Linked DNA regions of Lepisosteus oculatus. The protein of the gene in region 1 binds, or shares a complex with, the protein of each later gene. Links are inferred from orthologs where the notes say so. Each region holds a gene or a part of one and is shown on either strand. Other genes may lie near its edges.

The links.
Region 2: the proteins of ints1 (region 1) and ints7 are in contact, whole or in part, in a cryo-EM structure (PDB 8RC4), measured with the Homo sapiens proteins. The link is inferred for Lepisosteus oculatus from reciprocal best matches to the Homo sapiens genes INTS1 and INTS7. Residues at the interface, in NP_001073922.2 of Homo sapiens: Leu1378, Gln1381, Gln1382, Gly1385, Gln1386, Ala1389, His1429, Phe1430, Leu1431, Cys1433, Pro1434, Arg1437, Gln1438, Cys1440, Gln1441, Pro1476, Ala1479, Gln1480, Met1483, Leu1484, Gln1487, Arg1552, Pro1554, His1555, Leu1556, Glu1557, Glu1558, Pro1613, Ser1614, Gly1616; in NP_056249.1 of Homo sapiens: His150, Asp151, Leu187, Ala188, Thr189, Pro190, Val191, Lys194, Thr223, Ser224, Tyr225, Pro226, Ser227, Thr228, Asn262, Asp263, Pro264, Arg265, Lys266, Pro303, Tyr304, Gln349, Glu350, Cys352, Tyr353, His354, Asn355, Arg357, Ala360, Gln384.

What each region holds. Positions count from the first base shown.
Region 1 is NC_090714.1:1,264,299-1,272,148, reverse strand, and holds the start of ints1 (integrator complex subunit 1), read left to right. Parts: upstream 1-4,766; 5' UTR 4,767-4,885; intron 4,886-4,933; exon of another isoform or gene 4,934-5,032; intron 5,033-5,433; 5' UTR 5,434-5,474; coding exon 5,475-5,532; intron 5,533-5,965; coding exon 5,966-6,256; intron 6,257-6,505; coding exon 6,506-6,702; intron 6,703-6,832; coding exon 6,833-6,970; intron 6,971-7,146; coding exon 7,147-7,306; intron 7,307-7,782; coding exon 7,783-7,850. Other genes in the region: gaa2 (lysosomal alpha-glucosidase), read left to right, coding at 1,920-2,066, 2,380-2,442. UniProt on the Homo sapiens protein: Component of the integrator complex, a multiprotein complex that terminates RNA polymerase II (Pol II) transcription in the promoter-proximal region of genes.
Region 2 is NC_090697.1:46,094,188-46,101,894, forward strand, and holds the start of ints7 (integrator complex subunit 7), read left to right. Parts: upstream 1-4,591; 5' UTR 4,592-4,740; coding exon 4,741-4,834; intron 4,835-6,359; coding exon 6,360-6,489; intron 6,490-7,353; coding exon 7,354-7,500; intron 7,501-7,707. Other genes in the region: dtl (denticleless protein homolog), read right to left, coding at 451-571, 1,014-1,075, 1,542-1,634, 3,112-3,237, 4,071-4,122. UniProt on the Homo sapiens protein: Component of the integrator complex, a multiprotein complex that terminates RNA polymerase II (Pol II) transcription in the promoter-proximal region of genes.

The DNA.
Region 1 (7,850 bases):
TGACAGGTTCTCTCAGCAGGCCTTTTACACTGTTGCTTATTTTGCATTCATGTACAGGCTGAAGTTTAAAATCCTAAAAGTGGCACAATGACATTGTTGTAGAGTCAGAGTAAAGCAATTTGACCTTATGGAAATTTTTTTGTATATTTTGCAGAGGTGAACATTTGTATGTATATACAATGAGTTTTTCATATGCATCAGAATATTCAGTATTAATCAGTTTCATGTATACAGTGCAAATTACAGGGATGGGAAATACACATTCCTTTTAATTTACTGTGATTAACGGACACCACAGCAGTCCTCAATTCACTTTTCTCAGCGCAAGTGAGTCCCTAAGACCCAGTTCAATTAGTACAGCTCAACCGAGAATGAGAATAGTGGATGACTTTCTGTGACTGAACTTTTCAGTTGCTTTTAAAAAGTGAAGCACTGATTGTTTTGTGGAACCCCAAACATCCTTGAGTGTTACCTTAGCATGAGAGAAAAGAGTAGAGAAACGTTAAGTGTGCTCAGGAGACATGATACATGCGTCTGCTGCAATTGGCTTCATTAAGCTTTCTCCATTTTCCTTGAAGTAATAAAACCCCTTTTTCTCTGCTGATCAGTATAACCCATTGGATTATTTACAATCCCAAATCCCCTAGTGCCTCTTCAGCTCCAGTCTTTTACAAGCAGAGGAATTAGTACCATCCCATAATTTGAAAGAAACAGTGTAGGTTATCTACATTTAACATGTAATTAATTTGTAATTTCTGAGCTAGATTTGTTTTCATCGATGGGATGAGAATTAGTTATATTTCAGTTAACAATACCATAGACTTTTAAACAGTTAGATTTGTAATGTGCTATTAAATAGAATTAAATATCCTTTCACAAATTTCTAACTTGCAGGACAGAGAATTGTAGCTCTAAATGAAAGGCTTTAATTTAAAATGCCGTTCAGGAGTCATCTATTGTATAACTAACGAACCTGGATCCCAGCAGAAACGGAGACTTACTTTCCAGTTTCTTTAATTGTAGCTAATTGTATGATCACAGTTAAGGCAGTGAAATGTCTTTTTGAATCCAAAGGACAGACCTGGAGTGAAAACGTATTTCAGCAAGCGATATGATATATGATACCTTGGGCTTTTTCTGCCAAGACATTCTATTCAGCATTACCTTTGAATGGCTTCTGGGTAAAAAGCTGTTTGTGAAGAAAATGCAGACCTTTCAATTGTGGTTTGTTGCTTATATTTGGGACACTGGTTAGGCACTTTCCTGATCTCATAGAAATATATATTTCATAAAAAAAAACGCATTGTGTAACTACTTTGGTTTGGCAAAACCAACCAAAAAAAGGCTTGGTCTTGGTTTGTCTTCTCTTGTTCTGAAAATACACTGTAGGCATTTAACTTTCATCAAGATGCACATTCTTTAGGTCTGTCAAAGCATCTTTGCTGTCCAGAAGTTTGGGGTTTCAGAAATACAATTTCAAATACATGCTATTAAACATTTAAAAGCACTCTCTGCTTGAAAGCAGCTACGAAAGACATAATGTCAGTATTCTGATGGATTTGTACATGCACAGAGAAAAGTATTGTTTCTCTGACCAGAAGAGGAGTTCATTATGACTAATTACTTAAGTCCATGTCTTACTCACTGCAAAAGCTGTATATTTGCATAATTTTTCCATGTGTGCTTTGTGGTTTTCTTGTCTGGCAAAGCGATTTTCTTTTATTCCTGGCTTACTCACTGCTATATATTTCCAGAACTTGCATCATTCTTAACACAAACTTGGCATGTCTTCTGGAAATCCTATTTCTTCAAGTAAAATGAAAAATGTTTTGTATTGTAGAGGCTAAAGCTCTGCCCTTTTGTTTTATTGAGTTGAAATAATCTTTGTTATTCAAAGGTTTTCGTCTTTGTCTTCCTAGAATATGTTCACTTCCAAAGTGCTTCATGAGAATATAGAGGCGACCTACATTACAGTGGAAACGGTGTCGTTCTTTGGAGTCAAACAGATGCCATCAAATGTTACTGTGAATTCAAAAGAAACTCCATTCACCTACAAAACCAACCAGGTGCAAAATATTATCTTGAACTATTCTTACTCTTGCAAATCAATGAGTCTTTTTGCTTACAGTATGCCTGTTTTTATCAATGCAGGTTCATCTTTAGTGCACTTTTTTCCTCAGAGTGTTTTTTTTCTGGAATAACTTCATTATTACAGTGTAGCTGGACACATTTCTAGGTACAAAATTCTTTTATAGATACTCCTGAAATAATTATCTTCCCTTTTGTGTTATAAGAACTGTACAGAGAAATAACGGCTTTTTATTGATGATCTGAACATGAAAGTGTATTTGATTGTTATTCTTCCTATCTGTTTTACAGGTTTTAACCGTGAGTAACCTGGTTCTCAATCTGGGCCAAGAGTTTACAATCAGCTGGATCTAAACCATTAAGACCCACGAGGGATGTCTGCTCTCGTCTGTTCATGACACTGGATCTTTTGCTGCTACTTTTTGTGATTTTTTTCTGATTATGGCTTTTTATTTTAAAAAGGCTGACAAGTGTAAGGATTGTTTACTTAGCAAATGTATCTTATCATACAGAAAATGAAACCGTAAGCACTAGTATTTAGCAGTGGGAATATTTTAATAGAAATTCTATCCTTAGAGTCTCAGGGGATAGCACATGGTATCATAGGGCAGCAGGTCTGTTTATGTGGTAAAAATAGATACATTGATTAAAATGATTTCAAGTGTTACGTTTTCCATTCAATAGCACCATTTAGGTTCCTATTTTGACATTCACTTTCTTTTCGGAGAATTTTTAATTGCACTAAAACACCCGTCTGATGGTTTAACAATTCATTTTCAATTGAATGTAAAAATGGTCAGTATTTTCAGGACCTTGAGTGTTGCTTGAGTAAGCCTTTTCTTTAATTCGGAGAGGATTGCTGTTAGAGTTTGAAAACAAAAATGGTACCAGAGATCACAGGAGCTATATTTTCTGTACATTAGACCTTAGATTATGGTAACTGCATAGTGCCTTGAAGTCATCCAAGTGTTAAAGCTAATCTAAATCAGATTATATATCTAGGTATTGTTGATTTCTAGATGCAAACTAAGAAATTGCATTTAATAGCGCCATTTCAGTCTCAATTTTTGCAATATATTTTAATTGTGCAAGATTTAAAGTGTTCCCAAAATGAGTCTAATATGATTTATTAATAAAATGTTGTTTATTTAAAGACGATGTATGAAGAGCACAACTGCTTGATTATGTGGTTTCAATAACTTCCAGATTTCTTTGAATCAATCCGGCAAGACAATGCTAAGAAAAAGCCATTTTATTTTTATATGTAAAAGTCTAAAATAAATGTATTGCAAATAAATTGTCATTCTTAATTCGTTTTAATGGGCCAATGAGCATAGATATGAAATACAACTAAAAAGCTTTATGCAGTGTGGGGAACTTTTAGTGTCAAAGCAAATAATTACCAATGTAACCCTTTTCCCTGTTGTCAAATAACTCTTCTTTTGTGCTCCTGTACAATCTTGGATGAAAGTTGTTTTGAGAGATGTAGATGGATAAATAATATTACACTGCAGCAAATGTTTGGTTAATGCAGCATGTCCTGATAGTCATTTAATAATTCTGTGGTGGAATTTGTTTCTTCTTTTTTGAGTTTTATAAAATGTCTGGGGCTGCATGGTGGCGCAGCGCCGGGGCCCCGGGTTCAGTTCCAGACCTGGGGTTCTGTCTGCGTGGAGTTTGCATGTTCTCCACGTGCTGGTGTGGGTGCTCCAGGCTCCTCTCGTGGTCAAGTATGAGACTGCCTTGCACCCGTAGCCTGCCAGGATAGGCTGTGGCTCCCCTGCAACCCTGGATTAGGAAAGCAGTTGGATGGACGGGTTAAAATATCTCCATCTAGCATGATGAGCACCATCCTGTGAAAAGATAACTGATCTGAATTTACAGCATCAGTGAAATGAAGGTTCGTTGAAGAACTTTGCTCAGCTAAGTGTTAGGAGTACCTTTATTAGGGATGAGCCTTATATTAACCCTTCATGCTGCACAGTGGCCTGCAAATATCTTTATCTGCTGTAAAAATCACAGTTCTTCCCCTTGATTCTTTTCTTGAATCAATGCAGATGAATGAGAACTTTTGTATTTATATTTAAATAAAGGTTTGCTTTGTTAAACATTGATTTGAGCGGTTTAAGTAATGCTAAAGCTTATGTACATTTATTGGATCTTTACAAAATAAAATCCATAGTTTGCCAACCGTTTTGTATTTGTTTCTTTTGCTAAAAGGAGAAAAAAGTTAAAAACCCAAACGTTCTAGTGGCAGAATACGTATGGATTCAGCTTAGGCACTTGCCACTACTGAAACGGAAACAAAACTTACTGATAAGAATGTTAAAATCCGAGTCTATTAATTCTTAAAAAAATATTTCATAAAATGTTAGGCCTGAAGGACTTATTACAATGCAGTTCCAAAAAATGCATTGTCAAAAAAAGATTAAGCTGAATTTTGTTTTAATTTAATTACTATACGGTTATCTTTTTCGGTTTTATAAAAACCTAATAATTTAATACCTGACTATTTCTAATCATAAAAGAGAAACTCCACCTCTGAACGTGGCCTGTGTTAATGATTTTGGACAGGGAACAGATGCAAACACGTTTTAAACTGCCCGCTCTGCTTTATTTTCGTTCCGGGTGACCCCGCAGTCGTTGCAGTTCAGTTCCGCTCCTCTCCGGGGGGAGGTTTCCGTTTCCGGTTCCCTTGGGTTCGGCCGTGCTGAACGGCTGCTGCACCGTCTTCTCAAGGTTTCAGTTCCGGAGGTAAACAATGGCCATGGGAATCAGATAAATCTCAAATATAAAGGTGATTCTCCCTGCCCCTTCCGTAGTCGCTTCTCTATTTGTGATGAGTAGAAGATAGCGCATTGGTTTAAAGTGTTGTGCATTGGTCTGATAACCTGTCGTGCGACGGGAATGAGTGATGCGTACCCGGTCGTGTGCCCCTTAGGAGGTATTTCATGTGTAAATGTTAACTTTGCTCAGAGTTAACCATTAAGTGACGCATTTGTTACTAACCTACTGCATTATGTGTACGAGATCATCTATTTGCAGCGTATGTGCGTACAGTATGTATAATTTTCAGAGTAGAAAAAAAAACGTTTAATATCGTGTGGGTCTGTGAAACTCTTAATCTGGGGCAGACATATCCATCGCCTTTTTGCACAATGATATGAGTTTACTGTAATAAAATGACTAAATCAAAATATTTGTTTTTAAAGTGGACTATGCTACTTAAGTATTTGTGAAACATGTTATTAGCTTTAGTTGGTCTGTTTTTATGGTTTTGCCTGCTTAAGAATGACGTTTTGGGCTTGTTTTCATGACCATTTATTTCTCCCCTTATCGGGCCAGAATTTCTACATCTGATGTGAGACATTGACATTTCCAGCAGAATGAATCGACCAAAGCCTGCTACAATCAGGCGGCCCAGCAGTGCAGCCAAACCTTCAGGTAAATCATAATCCTTCACATGCTTGAAATGTGATAGCAGGTATTAGTTAATGAAACTATTCAAAAAGTTCAAAATCCCCCAGTCTTCAGTTCACTGAGATGTTTCTGATGTTTTGAAGAATAATTTTCTTTCTGTACAAATCTCTACACAGGAACAAGTAATAGGTTTATTCCATGCTGAAAAGAGAAGAAAGAGAACACAACGTTTTGGCTGTGGAGCCTTCTTCAGGTGTGAAACGTTGTGTTTTTTTCTCTTTTCAGCAGGGAATAAACCTATTACTTGTTCCTTTGCGGCCTACGCATGTTGACGCAGCTCCCCACCTCATCTCTACGTGACGTCTTTGAACTTGTGCGCGTTGGCGATTGAGTTTTGTTAGTGCTGTCATTCAAATTGAATTGCATAGGTCCTGTGAAGTCTGTATTGCTCTCCTAGGTCACCCTCCACCCGGAGATTTTATTGCTTTGGGCTCAAAGAGTCAGGCGAGTGAACCCAAGGCGCCGGCCGTGTTACTGAAGCCGGCTTCCACCAGCTTGCCTTCCGATCGCAAGAGGGAGGCCGCGTCCACTCTGCCCTCTGCCTCAGGCCTTTCGGGTCTCACCAAGCGCCCCAAGCTTTCTTCCACCCCTCCCCTCAGTGCTCTGGGGCGCCTGGCGGACGTGGCCTCTGTGGACAAGAGGGCTATATCACCTTCCATCAAGGAGCCTTCCGTTGTGCCTATTGAAGGTGAGAAATGATATCAGTCAATGTCAATCTAAGAACAATAACACTCAAGGAAATAAATCAGTAGCTTTGATTTAGTTTACATCTAGAAACACGGATGCATTATCGTATCGGAAAAGTAACGTGCTTCTTTTTGTGTTACCACTGTATGTTTCTTTTGTCAGCATTTTCCACTGAAATCTGAATTTTCTGCACAGTCGTTTTAAGAAGGGTTTCGTCTTCCCTGCTAACTCTCGTCTGGTGCCCCTGCAGTCCCACCTGCTGTGCTGCTTGATGAGATCGAGGCCGCAGAGGCCGAGGGGAACGATGATCGCATTGAGGGCATCCTCTGCGGTGCAGTGAAACAGCTGAAAATCAACCGCGCAAAACCCGACATCACTCTTTACCTCAGCCTCATGTTCCTCGCCAAGATCAAGCCCAATGTCTTTGCCACCGAAGGAGTCATCGAGGTTGGCGGCATTCCAGTGATTTTTTTGGGGGGGATGTGGGAAAAGAAATGTAATTTATTATTGCAGCTCCCGCGTTGCCTGCCTTCAGCTTTCCTCCCTGTCACCAGCAACTTGTCTTGTCTTTTGACAGGCTCTGTGCAGCTTGCTGCGCCGTGATGCCTCCATCAATTTCAAGGCCAAGGGGAACAGCCTTGTCTCGGTGCTGGCCTGTAATCTGCTAATGGCTGCCTATGAGGAGGATGAAAACTGGCCTGAAATATTTGTGAAAGTGAGGGCCAGCTGCTGTTTTCTTCACTTTGCGTGATATGAGTATTTATTGTCACATTTGAGGGGAAAAAAAGAAAAATGTTGTCCATTGTACATGTCAGATCATTTTTGAAGTCAAGTTTTTTTTTTTTAAGATCTCATGATTTTTTTTACACTGTACATTTTTTCCTTCTTTAGGTGTATATTGAAGATTCTTTGGGAGAACGGATCTGGGTAGACAGTCCACATTGTAAAACCTTTGTTGACAACATCCAAACTGCTTTCACCACGAAGATGCCCCCGAAGAGCATGCTGCTGCAGACTGATGCTGGGCGCTCAGGAGGGGATCTCAGTGCAGGTACAGGCATTTACAGTGTCTTTGAACTGTGGATCTGTGGCAAGGTTTGAAGAGAACAGATTGAAGAAAAATCAGAACTAATTAAAAATCATCCTTGTAAATATCTACAATATCATATCAGACATCATAAAGCAGACATGTGGTAAGGTACACAAATCAATAAATGAGTTCTTAAAATATCCTTACTGGGATATCCTTACAGTTACTGGGAGCCATGCATGTTCTGTCCATCTAAAGCTGACATCTGCGGCACAAAGTGTTTGTTTTGGGTAACTGGCCAGACGGGGTATGGAAAAAATATATGAGCAGATGAACTACAAAGTTCAGGAGCCTTAAAGAATAAATTAACCTTCACTCCAGCTGTGTGCCTGCGCAACACACTAACGCCGACAACATGGAAAGGACTGCTTGCATCTCAAAGACTGGAAACTGGTGCTCTGAAACAGAAATGGCGGTTCTGGTTTTTCCTTCTGTAGGCAGCAGCCCTCACCCGTCCACCCCAGATGAGGACGACAGTCAGACAGAGCTGCTGATCGCTGAAGAG
Region 2 (7,707 bases), on another chromosome or scaffold:
GAGACTAACATGCTGGGTGTTGTGTTGTTGTGCTAAAGAATTTAAGCATTGCACCTTTTCATTCATTCTGCATGAGACACAGAGCTTTGATTCTCATTACTATTCACTAAGGTGATGAGGAACTGAACTTTTCATGGTCAATGCTGGCTGCAATTCTGAATTAGAGTTATCAGTGCTGAGACTCTAGCGTAAATTCTGCCCAGATATAAGAAATATCTGCTGTCAAAAATATTCCCCAAAGATCACAAAGGTACTTTTGCTACCAGACTGAGGTCCTTCCAACTTGTTACCAACCCATTAGAACTTCAGGTGAGAAGCTCCACCTTTGCAACGTCTTTTTCTGTTGTGTCAATTTTTTCATATCTTAACCAGGTTCCAGACGTAACACTGGAGCAAGACATGTTTTTTTTGGGGGGTAGAAAAGTCATTGCTCAGTTCTGTGAGCCTCACCCTTTTCCTGCCTTGCAAAAGCTACCGATTTCAGGCTGCACTGGTGCCCTTTGAAGGTGCCCAGGAGGTCTTCTGTCTTCACATCCCACAGCTTTGCTGTCTGGTCCCCAGATGCTGTAACCTGTGGGGTAACAAGGGAATCCATTACTGGAGAACAGCAGGTGTATGAATCCTGAGTCACTGGACAGACATGTCCATCTCTAGAGGGTGATAAACCAGTAAAGGAGATATGATACTCCTTACAGAGAAAACATTTGCAGAAACTCCCATTACATTGTAGAGTTTTCTAAAACTCCAGACTGGAAAAAGGATCAATATTTATTAATAGCAAAATCCTGTACAGAGTTTTGAGATTACACTTGAATTCCAAGTAATTTAGTTTTCCTATAGGATAACAGACAGAGACAACAGAGGATCTACAACCACAAGACAGAATGTCTGAGCTCTGCTTGAACTGGTTAAAATATACCTAAATATCTAAAAAGATACTAGGTGTTTGCTTTAGTTAATTTAGAATTTTTGAGACACGGTTTCTTCACATGTAAGAAATCAATGGCACTCACAAGTCGCGGCTCTCCAGGAACCCAGGCAATATCAAAGACGGCATTCGTGTGAGCCAGCCAATCTAAAGAGAGGGGGGACAAAGAGCTAAGGTTCAAGTACATACTTTTCAGAAGACACCCACGTGTTCATTCCTGTGAAGGAATTGGTAAAAGTTTTTTACTTCCTTTACAAAATGAAATTATCATTCATCACTGCACAGATACAGATGTCTTTACTAAACACCTCCTGGTCTGGTGTTTTTCTTTTGTGTGGAAAAGTGACGAGTGCTCACATCTTAGGGGACACTATTCACATCAGGATCTTTTCAGGAAGTGAAGTGTGGCAATAAGGTATTGCAAGGTATTGGAACAGGGAGGACAATGGCTCCAACAGTCGTAGTTCATTCCACTTTAGGTCTGTTAGACGGAAACTTTATAAGCAAAGGCTTGTGCTGTATGACGATGTTATGACTGGGGGGAGGGGGGGGGAATCAAGCAAAGAAGCAGAGTTGATTCAGATAAATGGAGACCCTTTCAATCACTCTTTACCTTTCAAAAGTGGACGCCTGCGTGACTCTGTGTCGTACAGCCTGACGACACCTTCTTCGTTTGCCACAGCCAGGATCTGCTGCAGGCCTGGAGCTAGTGAACAGAGACCCACGTTACAGCGACAATTATCCTGAGAAAAGTTTTCTGTGTATAACACCAGAGGAACTAACTACGAGTAACAGAATCCATTTTCACGTCTTAAATCTGACACTAAGCAATTTTGTAAAAATTACTGCTAACTCACAATTTTCAGAAAAGAAATCTCACAAGCAGATGAACTCCAGTCAACACCAAATTAATTTTACAGAACAGTGTGCTGTTTGTCAACAGCCATTAACTTGCCGTGTCTTTCTAGACATAAAAGTCCTTTAATAAGACATGTAAACTGTTCAGCTGTATAAAAGATGATGTTCGTCTTAACTCATCCTTATTTAGTTGTAATTTGCTCTTTAAACGCCTCTGATAAAGACTAAACAAAGCTAAACACCTATACCTGACATCTATATAACAAGCTTTAACATAGTTGTGTTAAAAAGTAATTTCGGAATTTACAATACATAAAAAGTACATTTCACAATAAGGTCAAATCACAAAGCCAAAAAACGAAGGAGATAAAGAATATAAAACAGTGACAATGTTTTTCAGAAAAATAAGGTTTTAGACTAGAATTAAAAGCACTAAAATGTTGCTGCATTACTCATAGATGGTATTCCAGAGCATAGCGACAGAATGTGGTATCACCCCGAAAGTGTAGATGAACCACAGAAACACCAAAAAAGATCCAAGTCAAAAAGAGTGGAAAGGAGGAAAAGGGTATAGATACTGACTAGATACCAGAGGGTCGCACCATGTAGACTAATGAAGGTAAGAAGGATTTGGAAATTAACAGGAACAGGAATCCAAACACTCCAAAACAGGAGTGACGTGACAAGATCATTTGTAAGTGACCTAGTCGGGATTTAGCTTCCGAATTTTGAACCTACTGTAATTTAAGAGTAGCCTAGAGATTCCTGCACAAAGAAATGCAGAAACATCCTCCCCAACCCCCTCTAAAGAGCGGACACCTTAGGAGGTAACCTAGAACATTTCTAAGAAGGAAAAACAAGCACTGTGCATAAAGCAGTTATTTTTTATTTAAATTATTTTTCCTAATAATTATCCATTTGTTTTTCTCTTGAGTTTTGTTGGGTGCAAGGTCACATTAAAGACGCAAATATGTCTGACATAATTTTTCTTTGATTTCTGGCTTTACATCACAAAAACCTGTAATTTCAGTAAGGGTGTGTAGACTTTTTATATCTGCTACATGGGTTTCAAAATGAAGCAGGATCGAAGATAATCCCCAAATCCATTCTTCCAATTTAGAACTCAAACGAGGTGCCCTCAACAGGTAAAGCTACAGAGTGGGATTTAAAGAAAAAACCCAGTCACGTTACTGGATTTAATATCAAACCAAATAAGGAAATGAGCAAAAAGTGAGGATTTAAGATGAGGGCGATTTATTTCAATCCACATCATATTTAGCTTGTAACAGGCTAAAACACAAATAGACTTTTTGGCGATCCTCTACCTGTAGAAAACGTGCATCCGAAGGGAGGAACTGGAACCCCCATATCGCCATACGAGATGTGCTCATCTTGTCTAGCACACTGGTAACAATCTAACAGGGAGGAAAGCGGATACACACGCTCCGGCCCTGTAAGGGAAAACAGTGTTGAGAGTTCATTCATTCTTGTTAAATTAAGCCCGCGCGACCGCTCCCGTCCACATCTATTCATTTAAAAAACTCCGTCAGAGTGTAAGTTTCTACGATCTACTTCGTACGCGATTTTGCTTAAATCCTTTAAAATATAGTTTAACGTTAAATAGAACAGTTAAGAGTTTCATAAATAAATTCAATGAATCCTAAAAGTTTCATTGGTCTAAACGCCGTTTTACAGTGTGGCCTCTGTTTTAGAAATACTGATCGCATTGATAAAAGCTTCCGTGTCCACATCGCGATCACCAATATCATCAATATAATGGATTTTGGTATTGCTTTCTCGAAACCGATGAGTTAAGAAGCTGATTTTAGATGGTTTCACACAGAGAAAAACCGAAAATGAATCGTATTGAAGCGTGTTTCCCACCCAACCCCCTCATCTTTACATTTTAACACCCCACCGTAGAGGAAGAAAGAGCACCATTTTGAGCAGCAAAAGCGAATCCTTTTACTTTAGGAAAAATAAAATGAATGAAAAGCACTTTAAATATATTCATCCGCGTTGATCACCTCATAATTAGAAGATAATGGCATAAATAGACACAAAAGCTAATTTCAGAACGCCCCCCAAAAGAAACAAGTTAAACAAGAAATGGTCGATCTTTTTACTTTCTCTCTTTAAATAAGTCTTGATTCAAATACTATGCAAGGTATTTAAGAGGCAAAATGTGAAGATCTAACGCATTCCTCCCCCAGTTTTGAAGATTAATTGACTAGAGAGCCAGTACTCTATATTAAATCATCACCTAGCAGCTAATTTAACTTACCATTGTGCCTCCTTCTGAGAACTCCTCTATCAACAATGGAACGAAATAGCATCTTGCAATTTGTTATTGTGTTTAAAACTCAATTGCAAATTAAATGGATTTAAATTTCACAATGCAGCACCACTAGCTGTGTATCTCTTCCTAATGAAATACACAAGTACCCTTTCCCGCGAACTCAGAAATGAAAAAAGAATACGAAACACCCGCCTAAATGACGTTTCGCTACATGATTGGTCAAGAAAGCACAGAGTGGTCAGACTCCACCCACTCTGCGTAACAAAGCGAGTACCAGTCAGAGATACCTGGATCCAGATTAACTACTCAATAAAGTACAGATCCCAACCCTCTCCCATAACCTACAGAAAATATTACCTCCTCAAACAGGTACCAAAACTTCCCGGTCATCTAGCATTTTGAATATCCACTGATGTCACGTTATTGCGCCTTTCTTGCGGCCTAGTGGCGGCAGCACGTTTACGTCATGGGCGGGTAGTCGAGTGTTTATGTCACTTCCTGCCGCTTTGCACTGCTGGGATGTAGCAGTTTCTTTTGTGCCATGTATGCAGTATGATTGTGTTTTAATTGAAAAGTCCTTTTTAAAATCAGATTCTCAAACGTATATTGTAATAGAGAAAATTGTTGACTATATTTGACTTTCAGTCTAGGAATCATGTCTTTAACAACGGCGCGATCATTCTTGTCAGAAGCTGGTTACGGGGAGCAAGAATTAGATGCCAATTCTGCTCTGATGGAGCTGGACAAAGGTAGTTACACACACCTGAGTAAAACGCGTGCAATGCTTTGAGCTTCGAGCTGTTAAAAATGTAAGAGGTCGTTCATGGGTGCTGCTGTTCTGTAATAAAAATACTTTGTTTTGGTGGATTCATGTAAACACCAGCCTAGGCCGTTTTGGTTCTTCCGTTCCACTGTGACTCTGCTGCTCACAGTATAGATTAGGCAGTTAAACTAATTGTTGGATCAATGATTAATCATTTTACTGAGAGAGACGAATTTGTTCAGTCCTTATTATTCAGTGATTGCTGCGCTATATGGTGTAATCTAAATCGTAACATATACAGTATATTATGTATATACAGATAGTAGACAGAATATGCACAACCCAGTGGAATGAATGCACGAATGTGCCATGCAATTCTGCAGAAGGGATGCAGCACCATTCTTCCACGAGAAAGCCAATCAACTCTCACCTGGTTAATGGAAGTGGAAAACACTATCTCACCCCACGGTTCAGAATATCCCATAAATGCTTGGTAGAGTTTGGATCAGGTAACAGAGAAGGCCATGTGATGTGGAAAACAGCAGTGTCACCTTCATCAAAACACTGGGTGACCACGTGCGCTAAGGGCATTGACATCCTGGAAGACTCCCCTCCAGGCAGGGAAGAAATTCTGCAACACAGGGTGAAGGTGATCACTCAGTGCCATTAAGTAGTGGTTACATTAACCTTACCTTCTAAGGGAAGGAGTTCACCTAAACTGTGGCAGGAAAATGTACCCCTTAACATTACTGTACCCAGGGCTGTAGAGTTCTATAGGATGGTGCCAAAAATGGTGAAGAACGATTTATCTAAACAAATGACCTTTTTCTAGTACTTGATAGTCCATTTGCTGTGCTCTTTGCACCACTAGTCTTACAGGCGTGTGTTACAAGAGGTAATGAGTGATTTGCGCTGTGCAACCCGTCTAAATGATCCTGCTGTGTGGATTTCTCAGCATTTCTCTTGATTAAACTGGCTGCTTGTGCCCCAGGATGAAATTTGTAGTTCTGATTAATGCTTGGATATTACCATCCTGGAGTATACTGACCCATTGTTAGGACTGACCGAAGATGTCTTTTCTATTGGGTTCCATGCTGAAATCAGCTTAGACACTATGACTCTTGATCACTTAAGTTTCTGCTAAACACCCCTTCAAAGTCACTGATGTCTCCCCTTGAAGTTATAATAAAGGCCAACCAGGCCTGTCCAGCATTTCTATACATGACTCTAAGAACGCTGGGTTGTTAATTGCTTAATTAATGTAATGAATGAGTTCTGTTTTTCCTCCATTAGCTGTGTATTTCTGTATATGTCATTGAATCATATATACATACACTAAATCCTTTTTAGATCCTGCACCAATCCTTGTAAAGACTGCAAGATTGTTGTATCACCTGAATTCTTTCATCTTAAGTTATTTACTGTATGAAATCCTAAGTTGGAGTCTTCAGATGTGCAGCAGCACAGTTTTTTTACTAACCAGTATTGTAAAAATCGTTCCCCCCCTGAAGGGCTGCGGTCCGGCAAGCTTGGAGAACAGTGTGAAGCTGTGGTGCTCTTTCCCAAGCTGTTCCAGAAATACCCGTTCCCTATCCTGATCAACTCCGCCTTTCTGAAACTGGCAGACATCTTCAGACTGGGGTATGTGTTGAAATGAGCTCCCCTCCAAGCACAGCACTTCGTCTTTTACTGCTCTGCTTAACTGAGTTGCTTCTTAGGGTTTCTTGCTAAATTGAAAAAAAATCAAACAATTTTTGCATTTAGTGTGATTTTTCAGGCTGTTTTAGTTTTTGCATGCCTCAATGGAGAAGGTTTTATACAGTATGGCAGCATGAACTCACCATGTTCTGAAGCCATGCAAAACGTAACTGGTGATCAGTCACAGATAATTTGTTAAATTAAGTAGTATGAAGATTATTGGGAGCAAAACTCTTCAGTCCTGAAGGACAAGTGTTCCTTTAATTGGAAAAATTACTGGCCTAATTGAACAAAAAGTACAGGTGGTCCCAGACTTTAGAAATTAGTGATTTCGGAATACTCAGTGACTTCTGCATGGTAGTACAATGCTACTCTACGAAAGCTGAATTTGACATTACAAACAAAATCTAACAGCATCATTTCTGAATGTCACCTTCGTTCCCTTGAATTCCTAAGAGAAGGGGTCGTCTCTTTTGTTTCCTGTAAAATTTTGAAAGTGCAGTCAACAACAGGGCTCATCTGGCAGTCACAGTTTATTATTATATTACTTACATTCCAATGAGTCATTACATGTTTTTCAAAAATAAAAAGTAACTTGTGTTTTTTTAGCTGAATGAGAAATGTTATCATATTCCTTTCTGACTTGTTTTAAAATTCTGTAATGTTAAAACCCAATTGAATGTGATACTAGGGTGTATGTCACAAACATCTACTTTTTAACCATCTTAAAATAAGATGGACCCTTAGTTTTTGTGTTTTTATGAACAGTAGGCATTATCTCCCAATTGTTCTGTCTTTCTGTCACAGAAACAATTTTCTACGGCTCTGTGTGCTGAAGGTGACTCAACAGAGTGAGAAGCACCTGGAAAAAATCTTAAATGTTGATGAGTTTGTCAAGAGGATTTTCTCCGTCATTCACAGCAATGATCCAGTGGCCAGAGCCATCACTCTCAGGTACCGAGAATTGTAAACGATAATTAAGTAAGAATTATATAATTAAAGGGATCATCAAACATGGCCTTTTTCCAAAGAAAGATACCAGAGCAAGCCTGTGGATCAGTTACATGACACTCAGAGATCCCTCACTAAGGCATTTGTAACAAGAAATTGCTTAGAAAAGTATGGCAGATACTGAGTTCCTCATGGTGTGGCGCAGGGGGT